2 linked regions of the Coturnix japonica genome follow. The protein of the gene in region 1 purifies or fractionates together with the protein of each later gene. This does not show direct contact. Links are inferred from orthologs where the notes say so. Each region holds a gene or a part of one and is shown in the gene's direction. Other genes may lie near its edges.

Region 1 (5,449 bases):
TTTGAAATAGCCATGTAACACCACAGCTAATATTTATTTGTGTGACAGAAATGAATTCCTGGATTTATTAACTGAGGTTTTAATAATATGTGCAAACTCTTATAAGAAGGGTGTGTCTGTCCTTGTGTACAAATACAGTCTAAAGGAAAAGGCAGCTGTTTGGAAACACTGGATGTTTTAATCCCAAATCAGTAATGAAGTAAATAAACAAGCAGTTGTATGCAGCTGTGGTGATTCAGAAAAGGTTGAAAACTCTATGTTAACCAGTGGTACATTCGTATAGAAGGTATCGTGGTCGTTGCTGTTTGGGAGGTGGTGAGACTGTGCAGCCCAGTCTGGCTGGAGCCCAGGTCTGAGCTGGTTTTCATTGCCATCATTCATGGTTCAGCTGCTTTCTGAGCTGTCAGGTGTGGAGGCTGTGCCTCTTCCCACTCACCTTCCAGGTTTTGCAGGTGGCCGTTCTGAACTAACCCTGACCTGTGCTCTGTGTTTCTCAGGAAGAGGAGTGAGGCTGTACTACATCGGCGGGGAGGTGTTTGCTGAGTGCCTTAGTGACAGCGCCATTTTCGTCCAGTCTCCCAACTGCAACCAGCGCTATGGCTGGCACCCAGCAACGGTCTGCAAGATCCCACCGGGTAAGGACACGCGCGGGTAGGAAGAAACAGTGCTGCACAGTTCAAGCAGGATCTGCCGTGTATTCAGCACAGTGTGTCGATGTTGTTGTTGTCTAATAGTCCTGCTTATAACTTCATATGAAAGAAGGTAACTTTGGATTTTTTTCTCAGTTTAGATTAGCCCATAATAAACTGTTGCTGGTTTCTGTTCTGTAGTGCAGCCTTTTTTCTGTGAGCTTTATTCTAGAGAAATTAGAATAGAATCTAGAATGTCACTTGTGAGGTATGCTGAAATGTCAGAGGAGACATTATTGTGTGTATTTGGGAAAAGCTGCTATTTTTGTTAGATACACACATGAGCTGGGATGAGAAGATGCTTTTCAAAAGGCTGTTTAGCCAGGCTTCCAAAACCTGCTGCTTTTTTTTTTTTTAACATTTAAAAGTACTTATATGTTCAAAAAGTAACTTTTTCATTTAGAAATACTTGAATAAAGATCCTCTTTTTTTAGAAGAGAGATCCATACACTGCAAGTCCTGGCCCATCTAAATGGGTTTCCTTTCTCAGATGCTTAGGGAGCAGCTGCCAGTGCTACAAACATGACTTAATTCTCCAGCCACATCACAGGAGTCCACCCGGGCTGGAGTCAACATGTGAAAACATAAACAGCCCACATTTCCGCTGTAGATCCATCTCAGGCACATTTCTTGGACACCGGCTCTCCCTGCTATTGCCACAGCCCGGCTGCCTTCTCAGATTCATCTTCCATTTTTGTTGGTTTTGAAGCGGTTTCTTCATTCCGCTGTTGATGAGGCCGGGTTGTACCACTTCCTGCCAGGCACGGTCACAGGGAGACCTGCTCACATCGCTCCTGAGCTCTGAGCAGTTTGCAGTCTGATCAGACTGTTTCCTTTCCTTGCCATAGCTCGTTCCCTGTGCTCTCTCCCATCTTATTTTCCCCTCTTAGGCTGCAGTGTGCCCGGCACGGCACCCCTTAGTGCTCCACGAGGCCCGTGGCTCTTGGGCTGGGCTCTGTTATGGCCACAAAAACGGGCAGTTTTTATTTTGCAGCTGCTGAGCCATTGAATGCGGTTATGCTTTGCTGTATGTGGTTCGGCCCAAAACAGATGGCAGTGTGGGTCCAGCCCAAGGGAGCAGGCTCTGAAGGGATCTTAGAAAAATACAATTCATCACAGTCCAACTGGTTGTTTTTCAGACTTGGTCCATATGTAATTCCAAATGAGCACCAGTGGCATGCCAAGTTTCAGGGTTTAACTCATTTCTGATTATCAGGGAGAAAGCAAGAGTGAAAGTTAGGTATTTATTTACTTATTTTAACCACGGATAACGTGATTGCTTTTCACCTTTATCACCTAGGACAGCTGAACAGGTTGTTCTCTGTCTTTCAGCTGTGAGTAAACACTGAGGGGAGCACATCCCTTCTAAAGGAAAATTCTTTGGCACATCAGATTAAATGTACAGAGGTTACAGCTCTGCTACCAGCCCCCTGAACCCTGTATGTGGGCTCTGGCTGCCCAGAGCTGCTTCACTTCAGAACATTCATTCTGCTGACAGGCACCACATAAATCCAACACCAGCGAGTCCCTGTTTTTAACCCATGCATTCCTTTGTTTCAGGCTCTGTAGCAGTAGCTGTCAGTAAGTGTTACGGTCACAGGTGGGCTTTTAAATGAATACACAATGAAAATTAGTATAAATGAGGTTTCACCTGAGGATCCCAGGTCCATCATGCAGGTGGCAGCGTGATGTGTGAGTGATCTCTGTCCCATAATGTGGTTTTCAGCCCATGGGCTGTGGAAAACCCCAGCAGGCTTGTTGAAGTGCAGTCATTGAGCAGCCTGTGAATGGTGTCACATGGTCTGGGGACATGGGAAAGCAGCATTGAGTTTCTTTCCATTCCTATAAAGAAACAGATTTCTTAATGTGGCTAACACCTTGTTTTGGTCGTGTTCTTTATGCACAGGATGTAACTTGAAGATTTTTAACAACCAGGAATTCGCGGCTCTCTTGGCTCAGTCTGTGAACCAGGGCTTCGAAGCTGTGTACCAGCTGACCAGGATGTGCACCATTCGGATGAGCTTCGTCAAGGGCTGGGGAGCTGAATACAGGTCAGCCCATGTTCCGTGGTGTGTGGTGTGCTCATGCACGGCCCAGCAGTGTTCTGCACAGCTTTCTTATTCAGCCTTGAGATTGGGAGGCTTAATGGCGTATCTCTTTGGTAATGCACACCTTGTATTTGCTAAGAATGTGCTGACCTCATATCTTATTTTTCCCATTCTCTTTGTGTAAAACCTGCATCGTGGGATATATTGGAAACCCACGTGTGTTTGGTCACAGTGCTTTGCAGGCCTGGAGCCGTACCTGAAGCACATCAGACACATCTGTGTGGTTGTGTGGGAAACAGCACCTATTTTTTCTTAAACTTGGGTGTGTATTTGACAGGTTTTGGATAGTCGTAGTACGACACTGTTATCAGGACAGGATCAGTGCGAGCGCTTCCTCACAGATATGGGTTAGGTTTGGTGTTTTCTTTTATCGGTGACTAATAGAGGTTAAAGTCAAAACAACTCGGCATGAAAATGCACATATGGAAAACTATTGAGAGTTGCTGCTGCTATATCCCCTCATCCTGCTCTTAGTGCTTGTCATTGCGTGGCTACTTCAAGGTGAGTGGAGGCCATGGGACAAGCAGGGTCCCTATTAGATGTGAAAAAGGAGATGGAGTCTGGGATGGATGATGTGGTTGTTCTGACAGCACAGGGTGTGAGGACACAGAACTCTGTAATTCGTGTCACTGCTGCCCCACTGCATTAACAAACAAACATCCCTAAGAGTAGCAAAGGGAGTAAAAGTGGTGTTAGTAGTATGAGCAGGGGAGGTGAAATCTGTCAGAAAACAAATGTCATTTTATGAGAGAAAAAGCTGGCACAGACTTCAGCCAAATTCGATTTTGAAATACTTGCTTGACTGTGCACCCTTTCAGTCAGCCCCAATTGGAAGTGCAGGGCAGCCTCTGCCTCCCGGAGCAGCGCGGCTGTGCCGACGCGCCCTGCGTGCAGCTGCTGGCCGACAGGGAGGTGCCACGGCTCAGCTGCAGCCCCGTCCTGCACGGTACGCTCCCACTTTCTTCATTTCTCCAGATGTTTGGAGTCCATTTTGTTTTGAAATTGTCCTGCGCTCGGGCCAGAGCATTTCAGCCCTGGATCTCAGCCACCGCTCGTAATGAAATCCAGATGAGCGTGACTTACGGAAAGTCAACTATCTCATTAGAGTATTGTAGGCAATGAAACCCTGCGCTCACGCTGAAGCTGCTCTCCTGCTCCTTCATTTCCTTGCCACAAAATGCTCCATCTCTTCACCTTTGTCAGGGCACGTTGATTAGTTGAACTGGTGGGTATGGAGCTGTGTAGCTGTGGGAGCTGCATCCAGTGATTCTGGTTTGGCTGTGTTGCTGTTGGAGCACTGTGGGGTGTTTGGTACAGGGAGAAGCCAATTGCACGTGCAGGATGGAGGTTCTGTGTCCAGCAAGAGCCAGCTGTGAGAGCTCACCTTCAGGCAGGCTGCATTCAGTCTGCAGGTGGGAAGGCAGTGAGGTGTGCCAGGAGGGCAGGAGTGCAGCAGCCCCTCGGGCATTGGGTCCCTGCACGTTGTTGCTGGACAGTAGTTGGGCTGCTCAATGTTGACCCATTGTAGGCAGCAAATGGGAATGCTCTGTGTTAAGGGAGACTGGATCTTATGGGATCTCGGAGGTCTGTCTGTGTCAGTGCATCCCGCTGCCCTGGCAGCCTGCAGTGCTCACCGAGATGCTGTGACTGCCTGCATCCCATCAGCTCTGAGCCCTGCCCACCCGCCCACTCTGGGGCACTGCATCCCTGCCAGCGCTGCTCGGGAATGGGTGCGGTGCCTTCGGGAGCTGCTTCCTTTCTCAGCTCAAGGACAGGGGATGCAGCGCATTGCTGGGCCGCGCTCCAGCCCTCAGCCAAAGCCTCACACAGCCATACACAGCTCTGTGCCCTGCTGCAAAGGGATGGGGATGGTGCTGGGAGTGCTGGGCAGCCCCATGGGCACAGCCCCATTGCAGCAGCACTTTTTGCCCAGGCCCCACAGATTTTGGTCTCCCTCCCACAGGCAGATTCCAAGGACGGCTTCTGTGGGAAACGAGGGTGTAAACCAAGGCTGTTTGCAGGCTATTTCTCTCTCGTGGTAATCCTCCTCCTCCACAGCAGCTGTCCCTGCCTCTCTGCCTGGATCGAGAATCCCTCTGTCCCTGGGCACAGCCCCTGCCCTATATCCTGGTCCCGAGTCCCTCCCTGTCCTCCCCTTGTCACCCTGCTCTGCTGTCTGGAGGCATCTGTGGGCTCTGGCCCTCGGGAATAACAGGGCAGCAAATGGGGGATGCTGGGGGGCAGCGGGAAGTGAAGCACAGGGAGCACTGACCCTGCAGGCGTCTGATCCCCGCTGTTCTCCACCCACTGCCAGCAGCTACAGAGGTTTTTAAAGCACATCAGTTAATTCCATACTGCTGCTTTTCTGCCCTATGTGCGGCTGTAGAGTTGGGTCCATGCCTCCAGCACAGGGACAGTGGGGTCACTTCTGTCGCCTCTGATCTGGCCAAAACCCGAAGATGGGGTGAAAAGAGAACCTCACACACAGCAATCTGACATACTGTGCTTACTGACTAATCAGGAGGCACGAGGTGTGCAGAATTAAACTGGGGTGTTGCTCAGATAAGCACCTTATTCCAGAAGTCTGAGTAACAAATAGATGATATTGTGAGTTTCCCTCTGGGATGGCAGGGGATGTAAAGGGAAAGATGG
Region 2 (5,876 bases), on another chromosome or scaffold:
GTGGCTGTGCACAAGTCATTGGACTCCATTTTTTGTCCAAGGAAGCAAATGGCGTGTAGCCCTCCCAGTAAGAAGGTGGCTGTCTCACCCGCCATGCGAGATACGTGTGTGTCTACCATCCTTATTCAAGGTTTTGGAAGGTGTTGCAGAGGAAGACACAGTACTCTCAGCCTAAGTAGGCACAGTAAGTGAGTGAGACTGTGGGATGGCCTCGGGGCTGGCCTAACTTTATTCCTGTTGAAGTCAGCGATAAAACTGCCATAAACCCAGCTTTTTGAAAATCCCACCCTCAGGGCGTTTAGGTACTTAAAGGAAGAGGCTGGAAATTGTGCAGGCTTTAGATTCAATTTGGATCACTCCTCTCGCAGCCTTCCCAGCCACAGAACAGCGATGATAACGGGTTCCTCGTTCTATTTCACTGTGTGGAAGCATGGAGAATGGATACTGTAACTTATGCAGTAACAGGCTGTCTGGCTGGAGCACATTTTGAAGAGGAAAGAGAATCCTGCAGCAAAGGGCCAGGGCTGGCACCCAGAAGATCTGGTTTTATTTCTTAGTTCTGACACGGGCTTCCTGTATGACCTCAGCAGAGTCATGTAATTGCTTGGTGCCTCGGTCCATCATCTCCTTAATAGGGTTACTACTTACTTATTTCCTTTCTCCCGCCCTGGCCTGTCTTACTTAGGCTGCAATTCTGGCAGGGAGTAGAGCATTTCTGACCACGTGCGGGGCCTTCACCTAGCACAATGAGCCGTAATGGCAGTGCCTGTGCAGCAATGCAATGCCAATTAAATAAATAAACGAAGATGATAATATCATTTAGGACTAGAACTTCAGCTTGAAACCCAGCCCAAGGTCAAAGCGTGGTATGGAACTGTGCGGCGTGGAACCTTGGCAACTGAGGAAACGCTGCCCCCAAGCACGGCCAGGTTTGGGGAAGGCTTTGGTGTTGGTGGCAGCCAGCAGCTGGCCTGCTTGGGCTCCTCGTGGTGTTTGAGGAAGCCTCATCACTCACAGCCTTGCGTGGTCTTTGATCTAGACAGTAATTCTGCGTGGAAACGCTTCAGAAGCACACCTGAGTCGACACGTTTTGTACTGATTCTGGTCCGTGGCTGAGGCTGACATAAAGCCAGGCAAGAGCTGTTGAGAGTGCCGTGCTCCTGGTTTGTGGGTCACCCCTTTACCCAACCTGTCATTAGCAACATCCTCAAGCTTCTGAGGCCCTTCCGTCAGGGGTGGAGAACACAGTGGGGTGATGGCCTTCACGTGGGCATCGGCTGAGTGTTCTCCACCCTGCTGCCTGAACACGGCACCAAAAACAGGACCAAAACTGGACTCCGGAGGTAACACAAGAATAACTTGTACGCACAATTCACAGCCCAGTTAGGAGGCGCGCTATTGCTCCACTGCGACAAGCAGAGCTACCTGCAGGTGGGATTAGGCAGCAGATCGGGCGAACGTGACACAAACTCAGCGTATGGAGTAGTGAAATCACCCATGTTGCTTAAATCCAAGAGGATACACGGGCGGACATGCAACGACACTGTACCACCGTCCCCGCTCCCCCCGGCGGAGGGGCGCAGGGGCCCGGCCGCGCTCCGCTCCCGTCTCCCCGCCCTGTGTGGGAGGCCCCGCTGGGCCCCGCCCGTGGGCGGGCGCTGCGTTGCGTTGGGTTAGGTTGCGGCTGTGTGCGCGCGGCTATAACTTTGTGTTGTGGCGAGGAGGAGGAGGGACGTGCCAACTGGCGGCCGGCAGGGCCACGGGCAGCTGGGGCGGGCTGCGGCAGCCGGGCCGCTCGCCTCGCCGCCTCCCCCCGCGTCGCCTTTAAAGGGAAGGCTCCGCCGAGCCCCGGGCGCAGAGCGGGCGGAGCGGAGCCGCGCAGCGGCAGGAGCGGCTGTATCGCCAACACCAGCACCGCCGCTGCCGGGCGCTGGGCTTCGCCTTTCCGCTGGCCTGGGGGCGGTCGTCGGCTCTGTCCCCACCGCTCCCCGGCCGCGGTTTTTCGGTGACTGGAGCGGAGGGAACTGTCAAGATGGCAGCGGCAGGAGCACGGAGGTTATGAGCGCCGAGGTTACGAGCGCGGCGGTGCTGCTGGAACAAAACCCATTCGCTTCGGCAGCCCGAGGGAGGGCTTAAAGCTCCCGGACCTGTTGGAGGAGCGCCGATCCGTCCCTCTCGTGCTCGCTTTTTCCCCCGTGAGAGAAAGGATTTCTATCGTTATTATTACGTTGTGGGTTTTTTGTGGTGTTGTTATTTTTTTTTTCCTTTCTTCTGGCGAGGAGGTGCCGCTGTGTTTGGGGGCAAGGCGAAGTGACGGCGATCAGCGCGCAGGGATCCACGCTCCCCTCGGGGCGTCCCGAAGAAGGACGGACTCCTCGGTGCCTCCCCGGGACGAGCGCAGGACCCCCCGAGGAAGGGAAGGTGCTCGCCGGCCCCCACGGCCAGGTACGGCGCGGACGCAGCCGGAGAGCCCGCATGGAGTGAAGAAACATAAACAAACGCACACTCGCGGCGCCGAGCGCACCCCGGCACCGCGCTCCGGCGCTCCGCCCGATTGAATCGCGTTTTTCGCTCTCCGTTCGTTGTTTTCGCCGGCTTCGCCCGTTCGCTCCGTGCCCGCGGGGAGCGGCATGCCCGCCCGCTAGGCTCCCGGCGGCACCGAGCAGGCGGCGGCGGAGGAGGAGCGGGGCCGGCGGCCGCCCGCCCCGTCGCAGCGCCCCGCCGCCGCCGCAGCCGCCCCCGAGGGAGGCCGAGATGGCAGAGGCGTCGCCCCCCGGGCCGCTCTCGCCCCTGGACGTGGAGCTGGACCCCGAGTTCGAGCCGCAGAGCCGCCCCCGCTCCTGCACCTGGCCGCTGCAGAGGCCCGAACTGCAGGCCAGCCCCGCCAAGCCCGCCGGCGAGCCGGCCGCCGACGCCGCCTCCATGATCCCCGAGGAGGAGGACGACGACGAGGAGGGGGGCGGCGCGGCCATGGCCGTCGGCGGCGCGGCCCCCGTGGGAGGCGAAGCGGCGGCCGCCGGCGGCCCCGAGGAGGCGGCGCGGCCGCCGGTCCCCGTGCCCGGAGGCGGCCCGGAGGGGCCCGGGCCGGCGCCGGGAGGAGCGGCCACGGCGGCGGGCGGCGGGGGGCTGAGCGGCGGCGGCCCCGCGGCGGCGGCGCCGAGGAAGTGCTCGTCGCGGCGCAACGCGTGGGGCAACCTCTCGTACGCCGACCTCATCACCCACGCCATCGAGAGCTCCCCCGAGAAGCGGCTCACCCTGTCGCAGATCTACGACTGGATGGTGCGGTGCGTGCCCTACTTCAAGGATAAGGGCGACAGCAACAGCTCGGCCGGATGGAAGGTGAGGGGACGGGCTGCCGGCTGACCGCAGCGTAGGGGACGAGGATGGGAAGGGATGGGACTTTCGCCGCTCGGCCGCCGGCTGGTGCAGGGGGACGAGCAGGGAAGGCAGGAGACGGTGTTCTTAAAGGCTTTTTATTTTGTACAAGTTGTAGGGACCTTGTAACTCGCAACAGAAATAAGCGGAGTTGCTCTCGTGCGGTGCCAGCCCAAAGCTCACATGTAGATTGACTTGCGTTTTCCTCCAGCAACTGCCAGCTCTGCCGTTCCTAAAGGTGGTGGAGAGAAGCCCAAAGCTCCGTTTTCATATGGAGATGACAGGGTTTGCGAGAGTGATGGCTTGGTGCTGCCAGCCTGTGTGCCCCTCACTTACCCCATCCATCTATCGTGCCCGTTGGGGTGATAGCAGCTTACAGCACGGCAGGCTGCGCTGAGGTCGCTACTGTGTTGCTGACGGACCCAGCCTGGCAGAGAGAGGCCCTGCACCCATACAACCCGGCAATGCTTACCCAGTGTAAATGGGGTGTGAGGTGGGCACTGCCTGACCCACTTGCTTTGGGCTTGTTCCCATGGCCGGCTGTCGGCCCTTTGGAGCTGACATGCGGCCATACAGATCTGTGGGTGCTGCTGCAGAACGTTACTGGGGTGTGTGGGGCATCGCAGCTGCTGCTAAGGGATGGGGCTGTTGAGGGCATGTGTGCAGGAAGTTTCCTTGTGCTACAGGGAGGTTTGGTTTCTACTTCGATTCTCCCTGCCTTGCATCAGGGTTAACCTGTGCGTGAACCAGTCAGGAATACTGCGGGTTGAAGCAGCTCTGGCTGCATTGTTGGCAGCTCTGCCTCACCCCGTAGTTCTGGAGTAGGACTGACGTGCTGCTAGGTTCCAAGTGGAGTGCTGTGGGGGAAGCGTTGGGATGCCATACCTCAGGCTCAGGAAAACAGGAGCACAAAGTTTATTGGGGCATAGCTAATGTGGGGCAGGGCTCTGAAACCCACGTACTCTGCAGTGTTGGAGCTGAGCTGCACCGGCTGTTGTGTGAGGGTGATCATGGAGTATGGCAAAGGGTTAAATTCTCATGGTGCCAGCCTCGGCTCAGTAGGTACTGCACACTGAGCCGAGGCTCTCGCTGCCAGCTGCTGTGGCAAACGCTGCTCCTTTATCAGCTGTGTTGAATTTTCAGTGAACTCCCTATCACTGTTCCAAAGGGCAGGCAGCAGGGCTGTGCTGCTTGAGCTGAATGTGGTGGCAGAGCTCCCCATTGCCTCAGCAGCAGGACCCGGCCCATAGCACCAAGTGCTCGCATTGATCAGCGTGCTTAATACAGTCACTATTTTTTCTGACAACTTAGCCTGTTAATTTGATATTGATTCCTTTCCTGAGCAGCATTAGCTGGTACTTGGAGCTAATTACAGTGTTAAAAACTTGGATCCCTTGGGATTTCTTTCATACGGTTTAGCTCAGAAGCCCCTCTGCAGCCTTTAGGGTGACCTTTATCGGCACAGAAGCATGTTGGGCCGTGCTCAGGCAGTGAGATGCAGGGTTAAGGGAGGCCAGGAGCTGACCACGGGCTGCCGAGCAGAGCAGGGGCCACTTCAGTCCCTGTGTATGTATTAGGAAGAGGGATATTTCAGCTACTTTGAAAGTAAGTGAGTTTGTACAGAGGCACTACTCTTAAACAGGGACTCCATCTTAGCCTCCCGGTGCTCACGCACATTATATGTTATCATCTCTGTTTCCTTCTCAGGTAGTGAACACAACTCTTCAGGAGGTAAGGTCAGCATCTCACACCGGGCTTTTTTTCAGGTTTTAACCTAAGATTTTAAGTGAACAGAAAAATAACTCTGTATCAGACGGACTTCATCTTAATTTCACATAACCAGGTTTATTTTAGAAGGCTGCAGGCACACTTAACAATATTCTTCTCCAGCCTTGAGGGGGGAAAAGTGTCGTTTTAAATAAAGGGAAGCCGATACCTTGTTTTGATATCCTAGGTATTATTATACATGAAATTTTAATGCTGTTCCCAGTGAGATGCGGTGAAGACCATAATCCGTATGCATAGCTGGGATTACACTCCTCCAAACAATTATTTTAAGAGCTATAAATTAAAGTTGCGACTATCGTTCGACTACACGTTATTATTATTTTTGCCTCGGCCATTAAAGCAGAAGTGAATGTTTCAGATGTGGTTAGGAAGACATATATTACGCTTCCGCTAACTCCGATAAGGCTCACCCCATGCACACAGCTCCAGCCTGCCCCAGTGCCAGCAGGATGCCAGCCCCATACTACTGTCAGTCCAGCCTGCTGGATGGCCCGAGAGGGGTTAGGTGTGTGCTCCCTTATTTGCTGACTGCCTGGGATTGCTGTGGGAAGTCAGCGTTTAAATTTCTTATTGCTGGAGCTGGGGGAAAGGTGTCGGCTGGCAGCGTGGTGTAGGAGTATTGCACGCACCTCCATGCAGTTCCTCGATGGTTCGTATGTGTGTGCTCCTGAATTCAGGCATCTGTTACCCTATCTGCAGCCTGCGATTGCAGA

What was found.
Region 2: the proteins of SMAD3 (region 1) and FOXO3 purify together in Homo sapiens (affinity purification with western blotting; 3 studies listed by BioGRID and IntAct, with this or other methods). This does not show direct contact. The link is inferred for Coturnix japonica from reciprocal best matches to the Homo sapiens genes SMAD3 and FOXO3.

The regions. Positions count from the first base shown.
Region 1 is NC_029525.1:17,088,454-17,093,902, forward strand, and holds part of SMAD3 (mothers against decapentaplegic homolog 3), read left to right. Parts: intron 1-497; coding exon 498-635; intron 636-2,595; coding exon 2,596-2,740; intron 2,741-5,449. UniProt on the Homo sapiens protein: Receptor-regulated SMAD (R-SMAD) that is an intracellular signal transducer and transcriptional modulator activated by TGF-beta (transforming growth factor) and activin type 1 receptor kinases.
Region 2 is NC_029518.1:61,257,395-61,263,270, reverse strand, and holds the start of FOXO3 (forkhead box protein O3), read left to right. Parts: upstream 1-2,484; 5' UTR 2,485-2,754; coding exon 2,755-3,339; intron 3,340-5,876. UniProt on the Homo sapiens protein: Transcriptional activator that recognizes and binds to the DNA sequence 5'-[AG]TAAA[TC]A-3' and regulates different processes, such as apoptosis and autophagy.